4 linked regions of the Yarrowia lipolytica genome follow. The protein of the gene in region 2 interacts with the protein of the main gene of each other region in a pairwise test. Links are inferred from orthologs where the notes say so. Each region holds a gene or a part of one and is shown on either strand. Other genes may lie near its edges.

Evidence for each region.
Region 1: the proteins of YALI1_D18770g (region 2) and YALI1_E08828g interact in binary tests that used the Saccharomyces cerevisiae proteins (3 or more experiments, as listed by UniProt). The link is inferred for Yarrowia lipolytica from reciprocal best matches to the Saccharomyces cerevisiae genes MAK21 and RRP12.
Region 3: the proteins of YALI1_D18770g (region 2) and YALI1_A04119g interact in binary tests that used the Saccharomyces cerevisiae proteins (3 or more experiments, as listed by UniProt). The link is inferred for Yarrowia lipolytica from reciprocal best matches to the Saccharomyces cerevisiae genes MAK21 and RPF2.
Region 4: the proteins of YALI1_D18770g (region 2) and YALI1_B22015g interact in binary tests that used the Saccharomyces cerevisiae proteins (3 or more experiments, as listed by UniProt). The link is inferred for Yarrowia lipolytica from reciprocal best matches to the Saccharomyces cerevisiae genes MAK21 and DRS1.

What each region holds. Positions count from the first base shown.
Region 1 is NC_090774.1:878,817-884,492, forward strand, and holds YALI1_E08828g (uncharacterized protein), read right to left. Parts: upstream 4,055-5,676; coding exon 503-4,054; downstream 1-502. UniProt on the Saccharomyces cerevisiae protein: In association with GSP1, required for nuclear export of both pre-40S and pre-60S ribosomal subunits. Required for the late maturation of the 18S and 5.8S rRNA of the pre-40S ribosomes and for maturation of the 25S and 5.8S rRNA of the pre-60S ribosomes.
Region 2 is NC_090773.1:1,875,488-1,880,849, forward strand, and holds YALI1_D18770g (uncharacterized protein), read left to right. Parts: upstream 1-1,563; coding exon 1,564-4,854; downstream 4,855-5,362.
Region 3 is NC_090770.1:410,263-413,394, reverse strand, and holds YALI1_A04119g (uncharacterized protein), read right to left. Parts: upstream 1,472-3,132; coding exon 506-1,471; downstream 1-505. Other genes in the region: YALI1_A04109g (uncharacterized protein), read left to right, coding at 2,414-3,132. UniProt on the Saccharomyces cerevisiae protein: Required for biogenesis of the 60S ribosomal subunit.
Region 4 is NC_090771.1:2,198,704-2,203,526, reverse strand, and holds YALI1_B22015g (uncharacterized protein), read left to right. Parts: upstream 1-1,933; coding exon 1,934-4,285; downstream 4,286-4,823. Other genes in the region: YALI1_B22020g (uncharacterized protein), read right to left, coding at 1-1,303, 1,361-1,429; YALI1_B21966g (uncharacterized protein), read right to left, coding at 4,765-4,823. UniProt on the Saccharomyces cerevisiae protein: ATP-binding RNA helicase involved in ribosome assembly.

The sequences.
Region 1 (5,676 bases), on a different chromosome or scaffold from region 2:
AGCCCTTATAAGCGACTTTGGTCCTTACACCAGACGCCCAAGTTTTTTATTGAGATGTAGGTGGGTGGTTCTGTGTAGTTTCAAAACTTCTGAAAAAACGAAGAAATCATTAGAAAAAAAAAAAAAAAAACTAAACTAAAAAAAAAAAAAACCTCAAAAACATAACAACCATACCCCTACTCCAAACTTCAACTCCCCGATGTCGCAAAGACTCAATAACGATACACACGAATCATTAGAATAAAAAAAAAATCGACTTCTTGCAGTGCCTGTGCAAACGGATCGATAAGTTCTGTGTGCACACTACTGGTATTTGATGTACTGTACAGTACCGATACTTTTGTATGCCTCGAGGCTTTACGAATATCTCCCCCGACAGGTGTAGGAATCAGCTTCTCAGTAAGTTTCCAGACCATGTCTACGTCAAGTTCCCAGTCCTTCTACACTACATATTGTACACCATCTCCGTATATATTCATAACCATTCAATAATACAATTCAATTAAAACTTTCGTCGCTGCTGAGGTTTGCCCTTGGGTTTGCTCACGCCACCTCGAGAAAACTTTTTGGTGGGTCGCTTGGGCACCACGTCGTCATCATCTCCTCCGTCGTCATCTCCTCCCTTTGACTTCTTATACTTGTACTTGTTCTTCTGTCCTCGCACAGGTCCGTTCTTGATGGCCTCAACGTAATGGTCGATGGCCGAGCCCTGGGGAATCACGTCCTCCTCCTCATCCTCCTTAAAGATCATCTTACCGGACTCATTAGTCTTGAACTTGGACGATTTGAGAAGAGGCTCCTTCTTTCCTCTAGGCTTGGAAGAAGTGATGTGAGCCAGAGCCTGCTGCGACAGCAGATCCAGAGGGTCGTCGGACTTCATAATGTACTTGGAGGCCCGCTTGGTGGTCTCCTCCTCCTCATAGTCATCCTCGTCTTCAGAATCCGAGTCTCCGTACAGAGCTCGCTCGTACTCAGAGGCAAACTCCTTCTTGGGCTTGGTAGACGACATGGGAGCATCTTCCTCCTTCTCCTCGGTTCGCTTTCGCTTGGATCGCTCCTTAGACTTTCGGATGTTGGTCAGCAGCTTCTTGTCGGCCTCGGGGAAATGCTTTTCAATGGTGTCGAAGCCGAACCGTCGGATCAGACGCTCGACAATGTGCTTGACCTTGGCCTTGAAATGGCCCTTATGTTCGTGGGACCAGTGCAGCAGCTTTGGGAGAAGCTCGCTGAGCTGGGGCTCCACGAGATCGATGGGGAGAGAGATGGCCGTAATCTTGACGAAACCAAGAGTCGACTTGACGATCTCTCTGTTCTGCGAGGTCAGGAACAGCTCAACGGTTTGAGACAGCTCGCTGAGCATATCCATGGGCACGTCGTCCTTGAACTCGAACAAGATTCGGGACAGACCCGTGATGGTGGCAGACACCAGGTTGGGTGAGGTTCCTGCCAGACCAGCAGACACGGCCTTGAAGAACTCAGTCAGGTTGGCGTTGACGGATCCCAGACCGGCATCCTCGAGACCGGGGATTCGAGTGTTGTCAATTACTCCTCCTCGAGCCATCTTTTCGCCCATGAGAACCAGTAAGTTGTAAGCGGACGTTCGGGTCTTCTCGTTGACGTCCTTGGTGGCAATGACGGCTTCAGAGACGGTAGCGGGGATGAAATACAGATCGTTCTCGGGCAGCAGAGCCACCAGCTTCGCCAGAGCGGCCACTCGAGCGCCTCGAGACACAGCAGTGACAGACTCAGCAGACTCGAGAACAACACCACAGATGTTGTCAAGATGCTTCTCCAGAGTCTCGAAGCTGTTGTCGGCCTCGGCCAGACGGGTCAAAAGACGGTAGCCCTTCTTTTGGTGGTTGGGGTCGGAGTTCTGGATCATCTGCACAAAGACGGTCAGCAGAGTGTTGTGAGAAGAGGCAGGGATGTAAGGCACGAGGGCGATGAGAATGTCAAGCATGGTGAGCGACATTGCTGGCAGGGCGTCCTTCTCAGGCTTAGACTCCTTGGCCTCATCCTCCAGAGCCTTGTGAAGCATTCCACACACGTTATCGAAGATGTCGCCAATTTCGCCGGCGGGGGTGATGCCGAGGTAGGCGTTGATGCACTCGAGAATGAAGCCTCGAGACTCGGGAATAGTTTGTCCGTACACGTTGAAGAGCACCGCAAGAATCTTGGAAGACACGGTTCCGAGGTAGGCAACGTTAGACTCGGCCTCGGATCGGGGGAATCGCTCCAGAAGCAGCAGGTCGTCGTTCACATCCTCGGACTCAGCAGCCTCGGGCTCCTCGGCGTACACCACATTGCTCTCGACAAGCAGACGCAGCGACTGGCAGATAACAGGTCGGATCTCAATGTTGGAATAGAGCTTGTTGGAGAGCAGCTCGGCAAAAGACTGGTCAAACGACTGCTGGAGATCCATGGGCAGAGCGCAGAAACGGGGCAGAACGGACCAGACCTGGGCCAGCAGAGCCTCGAAGACCTTTGCGGTGGCGCCCTTGGTAGTCGAGATCTTGTCGTCAAAATACTCGATCAGTGGCAAGAACTCGCTCTTAAAAAAGGCAATCTCTGAATTGTGAATGTTGTCTCTCAGTAGAGGGAGCATCCAGGCTCGTCCGGGGTTGTCAGAAGAGGGGTTTGAAAGGTTGAGGGGGAGCAGTTCTAGCACTTTGGCAGGTCCCATGGCACGAATAGCGGACCCAAGAGCGTTGTCGAGAGCAGGAATGCCGTTAACGAAGGACTCCTCAGTTCGGAGACCTCCAATAATTGTCACAGCCTCCACAAGGAAGGGGTCGGACTTCCATCTGAGAGTGTCGAGTAGAGCTGCCACAACGTTCGTAGAGTCGACGAGAGAAGCCCGGGTCTGGACGGACAGAAGCATCGTGGCCATCTCCGCGAGCTTGGACAGCCACTTGTCGCCGTTCTGAAGCGACTTTTGGTTGATGGAAGAACACAGAGCAACGAGACACTGGGAAGCAGAGGTTCGCACACTGTCGGCCTCAGAGTCGAGATAGGCACATACCTTCTGGAAAACCACGGGGGTCTTGGCCAGTCCCTTATCAGGGTTGACCTCTCCAAGAGCACCCACTCCCTGGGCAACAACAGCAAACCAGGCAGGAGCAAGATGCTGGTCGTTGGTGGCGGGAGCCTGGTCGATCACAGCATCGAGAATAACCAGCAATTTTCGTGTCTTGTTGTTCTCGTCCTCTTCAGACTTGGCAAAGTGACGAAAGACACCCTCAAAGATGCCAAAGGTAGCCTGGATCAGCATCTGGTTGGTAGTCTTGGAAATAGACAGCAGCAGCTGACAGAGTTCGTCAAACTGCGACATAGGCCACATTCCAACGCCACAGATGGTTTTCACCAGAGCCAGCGCATGCATGAAGCCGGCATCCACGGTATCCTCCTTCTTGTGGTTCTCCAGGTACTGCTTGACGGCCTTCAGGGCTGTGTCGGCACAGGTTGCGGCAGCAGGATGCTCGACGAGCACTGGAGATACTCGGGTCTCGAGGATCTTGGCAAGTGCGTCCAGAGCTCGCTTTCTGATCTTGGGACGGGGATTGACGGCCAGATGCATCAGACCAACCACTCCTCGTCGGGGAGACAGCTCAGAAGCAGGGGTCTGCCACGAGGCAGCATCCTGGGCCAGCAGCAGATGCTGCAGAGTGCCAATGGCGGATCTGAGTAGCGCAGACTCGGAATCGGACGAGCCCAACACGGGTGCGAGCTTGACGAAAATCTGCGAAAACTTGGCCCGCAGAAGAGATTCGCTGGCGAAGGGAGACACAAGGTCGAGGAAATAGAGAGCCGAGGCGGCTAGATCGGTATTCTCGAGCTGATCGGGGGCCTGGCGGCTGAACGATTGCTCTAGCAGAGCAAGGAAAGAAATGAAGTAGGAGGTGGCGGTCTTCTCGGTCTTTTCCTCCTCGAGATTCTCCTCCACGGCTCCCAAAATAATGGCCAACTGTTTCTGGTTGGCCAGCTTGGAGTTGACATGGACGCGGATCCGGTCCAGCTTGTCCTCCAGCGGTTCCGTATGGTCGAGTTCGGACATTTGTAGATGGTGCGTGCAACTGCAATTGTCACTTTGCAGAAGACTTGAAAAAAATATTAGAGTTGATGCACTGCGAGTTTATCAGGTTGGTGGGAGAAGAGGTGGATAGTGGTGTGGGCTGTTTGGGGAGATTTCTGGGGTAATACGAGATGGTATTCTGGTGTATATTACATTTGTAGTAGTCTTAACTTGTTGGCATTCCAATATCGTGTCTCCACTGTGGCATTATGGTTGCGGTGTCACTCACTTCGATTCTCGGCTATTCCTTTTTTTAAAAAAGAAATAGAAAATGTCAAATTCTAGATTGACACTGCAATGGGAGTGTTGGGGGTGAACTTCTGCTGTAAGGGGACATGCCTCTGTACAAGTCACAATTACAGTCCAATATTATCGAATATACTGCAAATATTATACAATATATTATAATAAAATTATATTATACAAAATTATATTATACAAATTAAATGTTGATATATTTATATACAATCTCTTCATACCCACGCACAGAGCCACCAAATAAGAAGTTCACTGTACACGATTTCGAAAAATAGTGGCAAGACACGAGATGTGGTTAAGCAATGTTCTTTCGACAAGTCCAGTGTAACAGTGTTGGGGTCAATCCATTAAAGGAGACCATATGCTGTGTCCCTCCAGGTGCGTGCTGTGTTGTATCTTGTGCTGAGGAGTCCGACCTCTTCTGTTCATTCAGACGCTCCTGTGCTCATGTTCTCATGAAGTCATTTTCAATTCATCAACACCCATGATCTTCAATTCAACCCTATAGTTGAGTAACAGTCGATTAAATAAATCAGACTCGTTATGATACCGACAAACAGCCTATCATATTCCGCGTTGACGTTGGACACTACAACAAGTGGCTGAGAAACTACTTCCTTGCCCAAATTGACCGAGACAGTTCCTCTGCGGAGGACCACTGAATACTTCTTCCACGGGAACTAATCTAATGTTATCTAATGCACGATATTCCATGGACTCTGATGTAGACAAGCTCTCCAGATTCCTGGATTCTAAACACCAGTTTTGAAATGAATTGATGCCGAACCCAGGGATTCGTCGTGACACAGCAGATTAACCATGCGCTTACAGCCTTCCAGCACTGACAAACAAGTGCCAGAGTCCAAGTTCCACTTCTGAATAACCCCATAAGGAAACCCCGAGTAACATACACCTCTACAGTAATGAGGACATGAGCAACATCGTACGCACGCTTTTAATGTCCTTCAAGCACATATTGGCACTCTCCGGGTTAGTCAGGATCCCTACACGCACTGTTGTACAAGAATCCGCACAAGGGTATCTCCATGGATGTCAGTTGCTCTGAGAGAATTCTTACAGCCCGCAAAATGTGCACAGGCACTGCTGTATTCTACATGCCTATCCTTTTCAGGAAGCTTCCACACCCTCACTCTCTCTCCAGAACGAATGTATGTATCACTTTGTGTCAGAGAATGTGAGTGTGGATGCTTCTTCTTCTCTTTAGCACACGAGTGCATTTTCTGCTTGATGCTCCACATTTTCATAGTCCAATCTCTGGCGCTCACGACTGTATCCCTCAGATTGGAGGTTGAACCCAAGGCTGCTGAAGGCTCCTGGTAGTTTGA
Region 2 (5,362 bases):
GATATGTGTGTGTGAACCAGCAGCGTTTTGCTTCGCCAAAGCGTCTTTTGATTCTATTGTAGCCAGTTACTCACTCTTTGCTCTGTCTCAGTCCGCTCAGGTGAGGCTCTGAAACCAGCATGTGAATTGTTTCAGCGTCAATGATGATATATCGTGCCGGTTGTGTGGAGAAGAAAGATCGACATTGTCATCATCACCAAACCGTGAAAAGTGAACCCCAGTATCTCAAGGGACTTGGACTGTTACACTTGTACCCTACTTGTAGCCATGGTAAGTGGTATCTGAAGTCCCCGTTCAGGCAGACTAGAATAATCACCAGAATCCACATATTGTGCTTGCTTTTTCGGATCTCGTGATGAACGTCAAGCCATAAACCGTATCGAAGTGTTTACTCCTGTTGGGGAAACGTGATCGACTCGGGAATGTACGATGGCCAAGCATAGTTGCAAAGTAATGACGCTGCAGAGCACTGAGTCGCAGGTATCAACGTGTCACTGAATCACAAGAGAATCTCCACGAGTAAAAGTAGGTACTACTTTGTAGTACATGCGATACTCGACCGTGCAAAAACACAGTGCTACAGTCTGAATACCGTGCAGTATCACAATGTTGAACCTCGGGAGGGCCGCTGTTACTTCCCTGGTTACACATGAGACGCCAACACATCGGGTCGAGCAGTCCCTAGGGCAATTTTATCGTTGGTTCTATGTTTTTTTCCCGTCAGACACCTTCGTTTCTTCTTTGGTCTGAACATTGCTAGTGGCTGTTAGTGACACCCGTTGATTCCCACGGGTCCCAGAAGTTTCAAACAGGTACCATATCTGACTCATTGAAACAGATAGGGTAGTATCATCCTTACGATCAATCTAGAGAACTCACAAGGTCACATGTCCGGCGTACGGTACAACTGTTGTGTATGTACAGGGACATGATCGACCGAATGTCAAGTATGTACTCGTACGGGTAGAACAGAGAATGAGGAACTTGGTAGAAGCACAATGTACAAATACTTACAAGTTATATATCCGAGTTTTACAAGTATTTGCTTCCATTTTTACTGATTCATTCGCAAAATCACGTGTTTCTCAAATTGTATAAGCACTTTTACACACATATAACGAGCCTCGTATACCCTGTATGTACTGTACAGGGTACGAAGAGGTGACAAAGCAATCATTTGGAAACACAGGAGCCACCCCCGAATCCAGCTCATGTAAATACAAACCCATATATAGAGCAGAATTTCTGTTTTTCACTTCTCTCGGGGGATGTCACTGTTTGTCAACTTAAGATGCACTATCGCGGTTCATCTCTCAAAAAGATTTTTCAAGAAATACAAAAAAAAAAATCATAAAAAAGATTATAAGTTTGTTATAGCTGTAATTATTTTTTCTTGCTGTATTTATTCTCATATCAGGTCTTTCAAATCGCTACTTGCCGTCCTTCTCCATTCATAACCTCTGAAAATAATTTAAGGTTCATGCACGACTGAAAAAAATATCTGAAGGTTGATTTTGATGCAGGATATTTTTCTCTCCACCACGACAGCACTACACATCGATAATGTCACTGGAAACATCGTCGTTTTCCAATTTGGCCGACAAAATCAAGGCCAAGTTGGACACGGCCAACGATAAAAACTCCAAGAAAAAGGACGCCAAGAATGCCGTCAAGGCTGAGAACAAGGCTAAGAACGATGCCCGAGAGGCCAAGAAGAAGGAGCATGAGCAGCGCAAGAAGGAGGAGGCTGAAGCCATGAAGAAGAAGGCCAAGAACTTCAACAAATCCAAGTTCGGCAAGAAGGAGGAAGAGAAGGTCACTGAGGTAAAGCCCTCGAAGACCAAGGGATCTGACAAGACCGAGAAGAGTAAGGGGTCCAGGACCAAGAGCCAGGACTCCAGCTCGGACAAGTCGACCAAGACCAAGACCAAGGAATTCAAGCCTGATTCTCTGCTGGCCGAGATCCTGGAGCTCGGAGGAACCGAAGAGGATCTCAAACTCGTGGAGGACCTGTCTGATGGAGAGGATGATGTGGTTGTGAACCCTTCAAACGGCTCCAAGATTGATTCTGGAGATCTGCTCAAGTTCATGAAGGACATTGGACTCGATGGAGACGTTCCTCAACTCGTCGAGGATGTCAAGGATGAGGACGTTGAGGAGGAACAAGAGGAGGACGATGATGAGGGGATGGAGGATGACGAGGATGAGGACACAGAGGAGGACGATGAAGAATCCGAGTCTGACTCTGACGACGAGCCTGCTCCCGCTAAGCCTATCATTTCTACTGGCCCTTCTGCCAAGGAGAAGCTTATTGAGGCCATGTCTCTCCCCCAGGACATCAAGACTCCCACTGCCGTGCCTCCTCGTCCTGATTGGTACAACCATCAGATTGACGTGCCTGAGACCCTCGAACCCATTTCAGAGACTGACGTCGAGTCATTGAAGGATCAGGGTATGAAGCTGCTCAAGCAGGATCAAGACACATACAAGGGCAACCAGCAATCGTCGCAACAAACGTTCATGCAGCAGATGCTCACTTCCGGTACTCTGAGTGATAAGATTTCCACTTACACCCTGCTTATCCACGACTCTCCTCTGCACAATCTCAAGTCGTTCGAACAGCTCATGTACCTTTGTAAGAAGAAGGGCAGAACCTCTGCTCTCCAGGGTCTGGAGGCTCTGAAGGACCTGTTTATCAACGCTGGTGTTCTTCCTGATCGAAAACTAAGATGGTTCAAGAACCAGCCTGTCCAGAAAAACTCGGCACCTGAGTACCTCGCCATCTGGGCTTTTGAAGACTGGCTCAAGACCCAGTACTTTGAGCTGCTTCAGATCATGGAGGGAATTTCGCACGACACTGTCACCCATCTGCGGTCTTCGGTGGTAGCCCACATTGTCGACCTTCTCAAGGCCAAGCCTGAGCAGGAAGTCAACTTGCTCCGACTGGCTGTCAACAAGCTGGGTGACAAGGATACCGTTGTCTGCTCTCAGACGTCATACCACCTGCTTCAGCTCATGCAGGCCCACCCTGCCATGAAGGGTATTGTAATCAACTCCATCTGGGAGCTTGTTTTCCGACCCGGCTCTGACTACCATTCCCAGTACTACTCTGCCATCACCCTCAACCAGAGTATTCTTACATCAAGGGACACTGATCTGGCCAACACTCTTGTCACCAACTACTTCCTGTTGTTTGAGAAGGTGCTAAAGGAGAACGAGGCCGATTTCGACAAGGATCTCACAAAGAAGGACGCTAAGGATACCAAGGGCAAGCATAAGTCGCGTCACAACGCCGGCAAGGGTAAGAAGGGAGGTGTCAAGCAGCAGCAGAAGACTGTCGAGACACAGAAGGACGAAGCTAACCAGAAACTCATCTCTGCTATTCTCTCTGGCCTGAACCGAGCGTTCCCCTTTTCTAATCTGACAGAGGCTGAGTTTTCTAAGCACATTGACTCCCTTTTCAGAATTACTCACTCTGCCAACTTCGGTACAGCCATCCAGGCTCTGTCTCTCTTGTTCCAAGTGTGCCAGGACGCTCAAAAGGATCGATATTACCGAACTCTCTACGAGTCCCTCCTTGATCCCCGTCTTGTTGATTCTTCCAAGCAGGGACTATACCTCAACCTGCTGTTCAAAAGTATCAAGGCTGACACCAACGTTCAGCGAGTCCAGGCCTTTGCTAAGCGAATGGTGCAAGTTGCTCTTGGATGGCTCAAGACTGGCTCAGTAGTCGGTATGGTTTACCTTCTGGGAGAAGTGAGAAAGATCTCTGGCGGTGTGGAGGCCCTCTCCAACGTTTCTACCGGCCTCGAGGAGTTTACAGATGTCAAGGAGGAGGAAGATGATGGACTCATGGTCAACATTGATACCTCTAAAAAGTCGGTGGATAGCGGCGAGTCTCAGACCCACAAGGAGGACTCTTACGATGGAAAGAAGCGTGACCCCTTGTTCGCAAACGCTAACACCACCTCTCTCTACGAGCTTCAGTTCCTTCTGAGACACTACCACCCTTCGGTGACTGCCTACGCCGAAAACTACGTCAACAGAGGCGAGTCTCTGGCCAAGCCCGATCTTGATCTGCATTCTCTGGCCCACTTCCTCGACAAGTTCGTCTACCGAAACCCCAAGCAGCAGCAGAAGCTCAAGGGTAACTCTATCATGCAGCCTCTGGCTGGTGGAGCTGCTGCCAACAACCTGTTGGTCGGACTCAAGGGCTCCAACACTGCCCAGCCCGTCAACGTTCAGGAGTGGAAGGATCGAAACAAGGACAAGGTTGCCCCCGAGGATGTCTTCTTCTATAACTACTTCCAGCCTAAGCAGCTTAAGGAGGAGACCAAGAAGCTGTCCAAGGAGGATGAGTACCAGGATATCGGAGGTGATTCTGAACTTGACGACGACGAAGTTTGGGATGCTATGGTGAAATCCCAACCCGACATTGATCCCGAAGAAGACGACATCGATATGGACATGGACGACTTCTCTGATGACCCTGAGCTCGACAAGATTGATGGTGAGCTCGAGGAGGGAGATTTCTCCGACTTCTCCGATTCTGATCTGGAGGAGGAGAAGTCCGAGTCTGAGAAGCCCTCTAAGAAGGACGAGGCCGCCTTCTTCGAAGAAGCTGAAGACGAGGATGAGGAAGGTGCTGCTGACTCTGATGATGAGCCTGCTCTAGACTTCTCTGACGATGAGGATAACCTCATTGCTTCTGACGACGAGGTCACTCTCAAGCGAAAGGCCGGTGATGATGGAGACAAGAAGCAGAAGAAGAAGAAGTTTTCCGACCTGCCTACTTTCGGCTCCATGGACGACTACGCTCAGTACCTGCAATCCGATGATGAGGACTTTTCTTAGAGGGTGTATGAAAATAGATTATGGTAATAGATTGTTTTATGTGAGCTGCTGTTTGTATAACTTGGCGACCAAAGAGTCTGGAATCTCCAGATGGTTCTGGGATCACACGTTTCCAGACAACCAGACAACCAGACAACCGGTTCGGTCTGTTACCTTCCAGGTCTGAAGTGATCTGGACTTTACACTTGTATGTGTAGATACATACCATTTTACGAATGTACATACTACTGTACAGTAAGAGTTGAAATTGTACGGATAATCCAGTTATATTTATCCAACAATGTTTATAAAATCGTCAAAAATCAGAAATAATCTAACAAAATCGGAGAAGAAAAAGAGGAAGCATGTTCCGCACTACAAAAGCTTGCAATATAATTCTAATAAGTGTATATACAAACGTACTTGTACAAGTACGCTTTGACAAGGCATGGCCATTCTGATACAACGGATCAGGCGCCGATATCAATGGGAGGCTCATTCAATCCCTTTTCTGACGTTTACTTGGGGC
Region 3 (3,132 bases), on a different chromosome or scaffold from region 2:
AACCTGTTTATCTAGTTTGAGAGGAGTAGGTGAAAATCCGAACCTCTTGGGTAATAAATCATGGACCAAAGAGTCCCACCCGAATATTTGAGTCGTAGAGAGTTTGTAGTTGTAGACGCTTGATCTTTTGTAATTATGTTCAGGTAATACTGCACTTGCCGTGTATTTATACTTGTCTGAGAACATCTCAATTCATTTAAAAAGATACATATCCATCTATAAATCACTTTTTATTGACGCCGTGGTTGGTTGGAAGACGACTCTACTGGTCGTTTTTTCTCCTTTTGACATCAGTTCGATAAAAACCACATGGAAGACAGTTTCAGAATGTTTTCTGGTATCGTGACATACGAAACAATCTAATATAATACTAATACTAAAAATTAAATAGATATCTACCCTTGATGAATCGAACGGAATACGCAATCTCTTTTGTTTGATGAAAAAATTTGGAGTTTGTTCACGTGGCTACACAAACGGTTATCATTAAAATGCATTCTATCAATTACTCATTAAAATACTCCTCCTCTTCCACTCGGGCCTTCTTGGTGGTGACCACCTCGTCATCGGCTTCCTCGTCGTCCTCGACCTGGTCGTACTTCTTCTTGAGACCCTTCATCTTACGGGTCTGCAGCTTGCCCAGATCCTGCTTACCCACGTGGACTCGGCCAATCTTGTCACCCATGTTGTCCACCTCCACGTTCTTCTTGGTCTTCTGTCGCAGCTGCTCAGGCACTCGCAGAGCCTCCTTCTCCACGTCAGGAGCAGCAGCCTGTCGTCGGCCAATCTTGAAGTCGAATCGGGGGCCGATTTCTTGCAGCTCGATTCGAGGAAGCTTCTGGCCAGATCGGAAAGATCGGATCTTGTAAACTCGGAAGTTGATCAGAGGCAGAGGCTTGTCTTCCTGCACCTCGCCGGCAGAGATTGAAATGATATATTGCAGACCGGCAGCATCCTGCAGATCGGTGGTATCGCCTCGGAAGAAGTCCAGAAACAGAGACTTGACATGCATCAGAACAGGGTCGGTTTCAAAGCCGGTACCGTTGAAGGTAAACATGGGCTTGAGACCCACACCCACAGTCTGGGCCTTGAAATCTCGTAACAGTCGGTGGTTGACAATCTGCAGCTCGATCATGTCGAAGAGCTGGTATCCAAACGTTCGGATCCAGGTCAGGTTGTTGGGTCGCTTCTTGTTAGACGACGAAAAGACCAGCAGAGATGTGTCGTTTTTTTCCGAGAAGAATTCCAACGAGGACACATCCTCAAAGGGGTTGATTTCGTTCTTCTTGTTGAATCGCTTGCCATCGGGCAGCTTGAGAGCACAAAGATCCACCATGGCATCGTGAAGAAGCTGGTTGGAGGTCTGGCCGGGCACAAACAGCGCCTGCTTTGTGTTCTCGACAATCTTGGGCTCCTTGGCATCGACGGCTCGCTTGGCCCGAGCGTTTTTCGGTTTCACTTGTCGCAACATATTTTCTTGCTGTACCTGTAACTGTGGTTCGGTGTAATGTCTGCGTAGGCGAAAATTTCACCGCCTGCATAAATTTTTTACAGTTACGGTTGCCCTTACCCTGATAAGATGGAGTAGTAGAAATGTCAGTAGACGGAGGTGTTTGGACGACTGTGCGAGATGATTTGGTCACGTGATATGAAAAGTGATTATTATGGTCATGTGACACCTAATTTTCAAAAAAACACGCACACTTTTCGTACGTCAATGGCTACTTTTGGGTGTCTTACTATTGAAAACCTACTGAGATCAGTTTACTAATCATCGCCACTATTGTGAGTGGCAAACAAGAGGATTGGGAGAAATAATTTGTAGCGAGCATATGTATATGAGATGAAGGTATGAGTTGGGTATAGTATCTATTACAGCTTTAGTTTCTATCAACCACCAACTTGATTGAAAAGGGTTGAGGATTTTGTTAAGAATGATGGTGATGTTACAATCACATACGATAGTAAAATGTATAATCCAATCTGGTCGTATTAATTGACGAGTTAATAACTGATATATAGCTATATCTTTACTTTCCTGGTTCCCAGTTGATGTTGTTGGTTTCAGAAAGAGCGAGAATGTTGTTGAGGGCCTACTTGACTATTAGTTGGCCCGTAGGTTGTGTCAATTTTGTTAATCCTTTGTTGTGAACCTCGTATTAGTTGGTATTTTACTTAGGGTAGTATTTGCAAGAAGAACGAGACAATAGAGCGTCCAAAGACACAAAACAATAACAGGAGTCGCCGTGACGGCACTATCAAGGGTTTAAAAGTCCATTGTAGTTGGTTCTTTGTGCAATTACGACAACCATCATTCCACAACATAATCCACCTCCTGGTAGACCCTAACCCTAATGCAGGCAATTGAGAGTTGCACAAAAAGATCCAAACACAAACACAGACACATCCATCCATGTCGCAAATTGGCAATATTCGAAAGCTGCGGCAAAAAGCGGTGCAGCAAGAACTCAACCGAGTTGTGCCTGCGACGCTCTTCAACGACGATGTGACGGAAAAGTCGTTCACCAACCTGTCGGCTGTGGAGGACAGTCTGGCGGATTATGGCTCCGAAATCACCCGCACGGCCATGTACAATGTGACGCGATTGGCAGCAAGACCCGATCTATCAGGAGTGGAGATTGCTTTTGATTCCGGTGAGCATGTGAGCTCATCGCTATCTGACGACTTTGGGCTGGTGGTTGTGGGGAACAAGGCACATGTGTGGAAGTACACATCTCCTGAGCCGACCCCAGAGACCTTTACACATAGTCTGGGAGTCCAGGATAATGCTCTGGGTCACCTGATCCCCGTGACGCCGAGTTTCAAGGACGTTGGACATCCCGGTCTGGTGCTAGTGGGTGTCAATTCTGGTTTGTGTGTCTTCTGGGAGTCAGTGGGAGGTGCAGCTGCTGAAGGGTACCTGCGAACACGACAGCAGGTGGAGACCCAGATTAAGCTATACAGTGGTGAGGTGATTGAGCACGTGAACCGCATGGACGATGTCACGCTGGTGCTGTCTCTGTCCTCGGGCCGTCTCATTGGCCTCTCTCTTCGAGATAAGGACGAGGCTGCTCTCAACTACTGGACTCTGCGAGACACAAAGGCCGGCCTGTTGAGCAACATTCGATCCGC
Region 4 (4,823 bases), on a different chromosome or scaffold from region 2:
TAGTCTTACCGATTCCAGGGGGACCAGACAGCAGAACAGCACGATAAATGCCAAATCCATCTTTTCCAGGCTGCTTGAATCCATGTTTGGCATTGTCGTGCCAGTTGTTGAGCCAGTTTTGTAGCTTGGTCACCGCTCCCTTGTTTCCGCAAACGTGATTCAGGTTGTTGGGGGCGTATTTGACTGTCCACAGCTGGTCATCCATAGACACAGCCCGAGGGGCTCCAGAAGCGTCCGCCTTCTTGGATGCAGCTTTCTCCTTCTTTTCTCGCGCCGCCATCTCAGCAGCCATCTTTGCGCTCTCAGCAGCAATCTTGTCGGCCTCTTCTGCCTGCTTAGCTAGCGCCTTTTCAGCAGCAGCACCCCCTCCACCGTCAGCAGGCATGAGTCTGAGCAGTTCCAAGAAACCAGCTTCATCCAGAGCCTTGGTTCTGAGCTTCTTGATCTGCTCAATCTTCTTGGGTCCGGCATCTTCTCCCAGAACAACACAGTTGGTCTTACCAGAAATGGAAGAAGTGACCTTACCTCCGTACTTTTTGACTGCGGCCTGACCCTCTTCTCGCGACAAGTTGGGCATGGTGCCAGTGAAAACGAACGTGAGGCCCACCAGACAGTTTTCGGCCGCCTCAGGAAGCTCCACTGCTCCTCCTCCTTCTCCACTTCCAGTGGCCGTGTTCTTGGCCAGATGCTCTCGGAAGTTGAACTTCTTCCCCTCCTCGACCTCGGGAAGCTCGGCGTCGGGTAATTGCGCTAGTACAGACTCTGCTGTAGCCCCTCCAGGTGCGGATCGAGCATTGGGGGCGGCCGTTGGAGCAGCCTTGGGCTTGGGGGCAGCCTTTTTAGGAGCACGCTTGATTTGCTCGAGATCGTCGTCATCGAGATCGTCATAGTCAATGATTGGGCCCTTATTTGATACGCTTGCCTTGGGAGGTGGCTTCTTGACCACATTGTCGTCCTCATCAATCTCAATCACATCGTCATCCTTGACTGGCCCCGATCGTCGTGTTCGTCGCTGCACAGGTTTCACGGGCAAATCATCGTCGTCCACAAACCCGTCGTCGCTGTCCATATCTATCTCATAAGGGGCCTCTCCATCTTCGCTGTCAGAATCGTCAATCTGGATTGTCCGCTTTTTGGGAGCAGGTTTGGCAGGAGACTTGGTCTTAGCAGTGGGATTGGGCTTTGCGGGAATCTTTGGCTTGACGGGCGACTTCTCGGGCTCGGAATTAATCTCCTGTTTGACCTCCTGTTTGACCTTTTTGGGCTTTCTCTCTTCGTCCACAGACGTGGTGGCTGGCCGTTTCTATGTTAGTGGTTTTTGCGTGAATCAAAACAGATGGGCAGTGCAATTGGTACTCACGTCATTGGACTTGGCCGGCGCCTTGGTCTTTTGGGCTCCAAAGAAACTGCGGATATCTTTGGGAGGCATTTTTTTTGCACTGCGTTCCAGTGGTGATAAATGGAAAGCTTCGTGTTGACGCGTTTTGCAGTGCTGCGGTTGGGAGAGGCGAAAGAAGAGGCAGGGGAGTAATTACAACAGAGAGGTTACTGTATATTGTGACTACAATAAGTGATGAAAAATAATCACAGGTAAGAGGTTGTTGAAGCAGTTTATCTATGCAATTTAATGATCGTGAAATGAGTTGTTCTTGTATTGTGGGCAATTATTGTACCCACATGCTGGCTTGCTGCGTGTGATGGCAGGTGGACTTCGTAAGGTGAACAATGTAATAACAGATTAAAGAACAGATTTGGATTATATGACTATTAGTGATCAATTGTAATGGCTTGATGGTCATAAAATCTGTTCACATTGACACTTCAGCCAAGATTCATCAAGTTATAACCCTCTACAGTATGTACTCGTACTTCTACTGCAACACTCACTCCCTCACCCTCCTCCTAACGTCAATCACATGACTGTGCGTCATTAATGCATCCAGAGTTTATTGGAAAAATATGTCCATGCAGAAATAAATTATCCACCCTATTTCAAACCAGCACGCAAATAACACACACAAAAATGGTCAAGGGAAAAGTGACCAAACCGGTCAAGAAGGCTACTAAGTCCAAACAATCGGCTGCCATGATTTCCAAAGTAAAGGACGACTTTGTCATGACTCTAGATTCCGACGGTGAAGATCTGGAGGAGGAGAGTGCAGACGAGAAGGAAGAGGTGGAGGAGAAGCCTGTCAAGCTGACAAAGAAGCAGAAGAAGCAAAAACTCAGTGAAGCCGACGAGGAGCTACTGGAGCGAGAAAAGCAGGCTGCCAAGGCCGGCATCAACCCCGACTTCCAGTTTTCGCTGGACGGATTTGCTGCCACCTCTGAAGGTCTGGACGGCTGGAACTTTGAGGTGTCCAAGGACGACAACAAGGTCCAGAAGCGAGAAGTTGATTTGGACAGCATTATCAAGAGAAAAGGAGGCCTTCTGGACGAGGACGAGGACGAGGACGAGGCCGAGACAGACGTTAAGATGGAGGAGAACGAAGATGATCTGGCCATTGATGGTTTCGGAGGAGGAGTCCAGCCCGGAAAGGACATGGATGAGCCTGAGGACGAGGACGAGGAGAACAAAGAAGAGGTTGAGAATGAAGAGGAGGAGGACTCTGATGGAAGCGACTCCGAGGCTGAGGAGTGTATGCACCCCGATGATTTGGTTTTGGATGACCATAAAGGCCCTGCCATCGACGAGGGACCCCAGGACACTGCCGAGGAGATGGCTGCATTCTACGCTCCCGAGGAGGAGAACAACGATAAGACTGAGTCTGTGCACAAAACCTTTCAGACTCTGAATCTGTCTAGACCCGTCATGAAGGGTATTTCTGCTCTGGGATACCAGGCCCCCACTCCGATTCAGAGCAGAACCATCCCCATTGCTCTCATGGGCAAGGATCTGGTTGCTGGTGCCGTCACTGGTTCTGGTAAGACTGCTGCGTACATCATTCCTGTTTTGGAGCGTCTTCTCTACAAGTCCTCCAAGGTCGCAGCCACTAAGGTTGTGGTTCTGACTCCCACTCGAGAGCTGTCCATTCAGGTCGCCGATGTTGGTAAGAAGCTCGCACAGTATGTTTCTGGCGTGCGATTCGGTCTGGCTGTCGGTGGTCTGAACCTTCGAGTTCAGGAGCAGGAGCTCAAGACGCGACCCGAGGTTGTCATTGCTACCCCCGGTCGATTTATTGATCATGTTCGAAACTCTCCCTCGTTCAACGTTGACGATGTCGAGATTCTGGTGATTGATGAGGCTGATCGAATGCTGGAGGAGGGTTTCCAACAGGAACTGACCGAGATTCTGACACTGCTTCCCAAGAAGCGTCAGACTCTGCTTTTCTCTGCCACTATGAATTCGTCCATTTCGTCGCTTATTCAGCTGTCTCTTTCTCGGCCCGTTCGAGTCATGATCAACCCTCCCAAGCAGGCCGCTTCTGGTCTGGTGCAAGAGTTTGTTCGAATCCGTAAGCGAGACCATCTCAAGCCCGCTCTGCTGGCCTCCATCCTCAAGAAGATGGACAAGGAGCAGCGAACCATTATTTTCGTGGCCCGAAAAGAGACTGCGCATCGTCTTCGAATCATGCTGGGTCTGCTCGGAGTCCGAATTGGAGAACTGCACGGAGCTCTGTCTCAGGAGCAGCGTCTGCAGTCCATCACAGCATTCAAAAAACTGGAGGTGCCCATTCTGGTCTGTACCGATCTGGCTTCCCGAGGTCTGGATATCCCCAAGATCGAGTGTGTCGTCAACTACGACATGCCCCAGACCCATGCTGTCTACCTGCATCGAGTTGGACGAACTGCTCGAGCAGGACGAGAAGGTCGATCCATCACTCTGGTCGGGGAGGCTGCTGCTGACAGAGCCATTGTCCGCGAGGCTATCAAGTCTGTATCTGAGAGTAAACAGGGCAAGGCCGTGGGCCGAAACGTGGACTGGCCTGAGGTCGAGAAGCTATACTCCAAGATCGAGGAGAAGGGTGACATTGTCAACGAGATTCTGGCTGAGGAGAAGGAGGAGAAGGCCATGCTGCAGGCCGAGATGGAGGTGCGAAAGGGAGAGAACCTTCTCAAGTACGAGAAGGAGATTGCATCCCGACCTCGGCGAACTTGGTTCCAGAATGCCCAAGAGAAGAAGGCTGATGAGACCTCGGACAAACGAAATCTACTAGCCAGCAACAAGGACAAGATGAAGAAGAAGAAAGACAACGAGGAGGTCCGAATGTACAAGAAGACCAAGACCGATCGAAAGGAGGCCTCTAAGCGAGGTAAGCCCAAGGGAAAGGGTAAGCGAAAGTGAAGAAAAGGATGGTATATAGTTGAATTTATTGTATAGATATGCAGTCCGCAGTAATGTGTATTGTCTCGATGTTTGAAGAACCCCAAAACAATGGGAGTCTGTGCTTTTTGTTTCCTGTCCTATACAACCATACTGTTGACGTTTACAGCAGACAAATTGAGCCCTTTGCGGGTATTAATACTGTAGATGGACTGGAGTCTCAGCTCCGATTTCCAGCAATATGAAAAATCAAAAGGTAGGCATGGGCCTACAATATGTAGTATTACTCTTAGAGAATTTGGGATGGTAGAAGCTGGACAGCCATCTCCAGCAGGTATTGACCTGAAGTATAACTTAAGCCGACAGTCTACTGTACATACTCTGGATGACCTTTCAAAATAATGTCATTCAACGCACCACCATAGGCTTATACAAGACGAGAACGCAAATAAACACAGAAGACATGAGGTTTAACCCTGACGTCATTACATAGGATCGAATTAAACATAGTAGAAGGCGTCAGAAGCCTCAGCCCACATCGGAAGGGCTCCCACTCGGG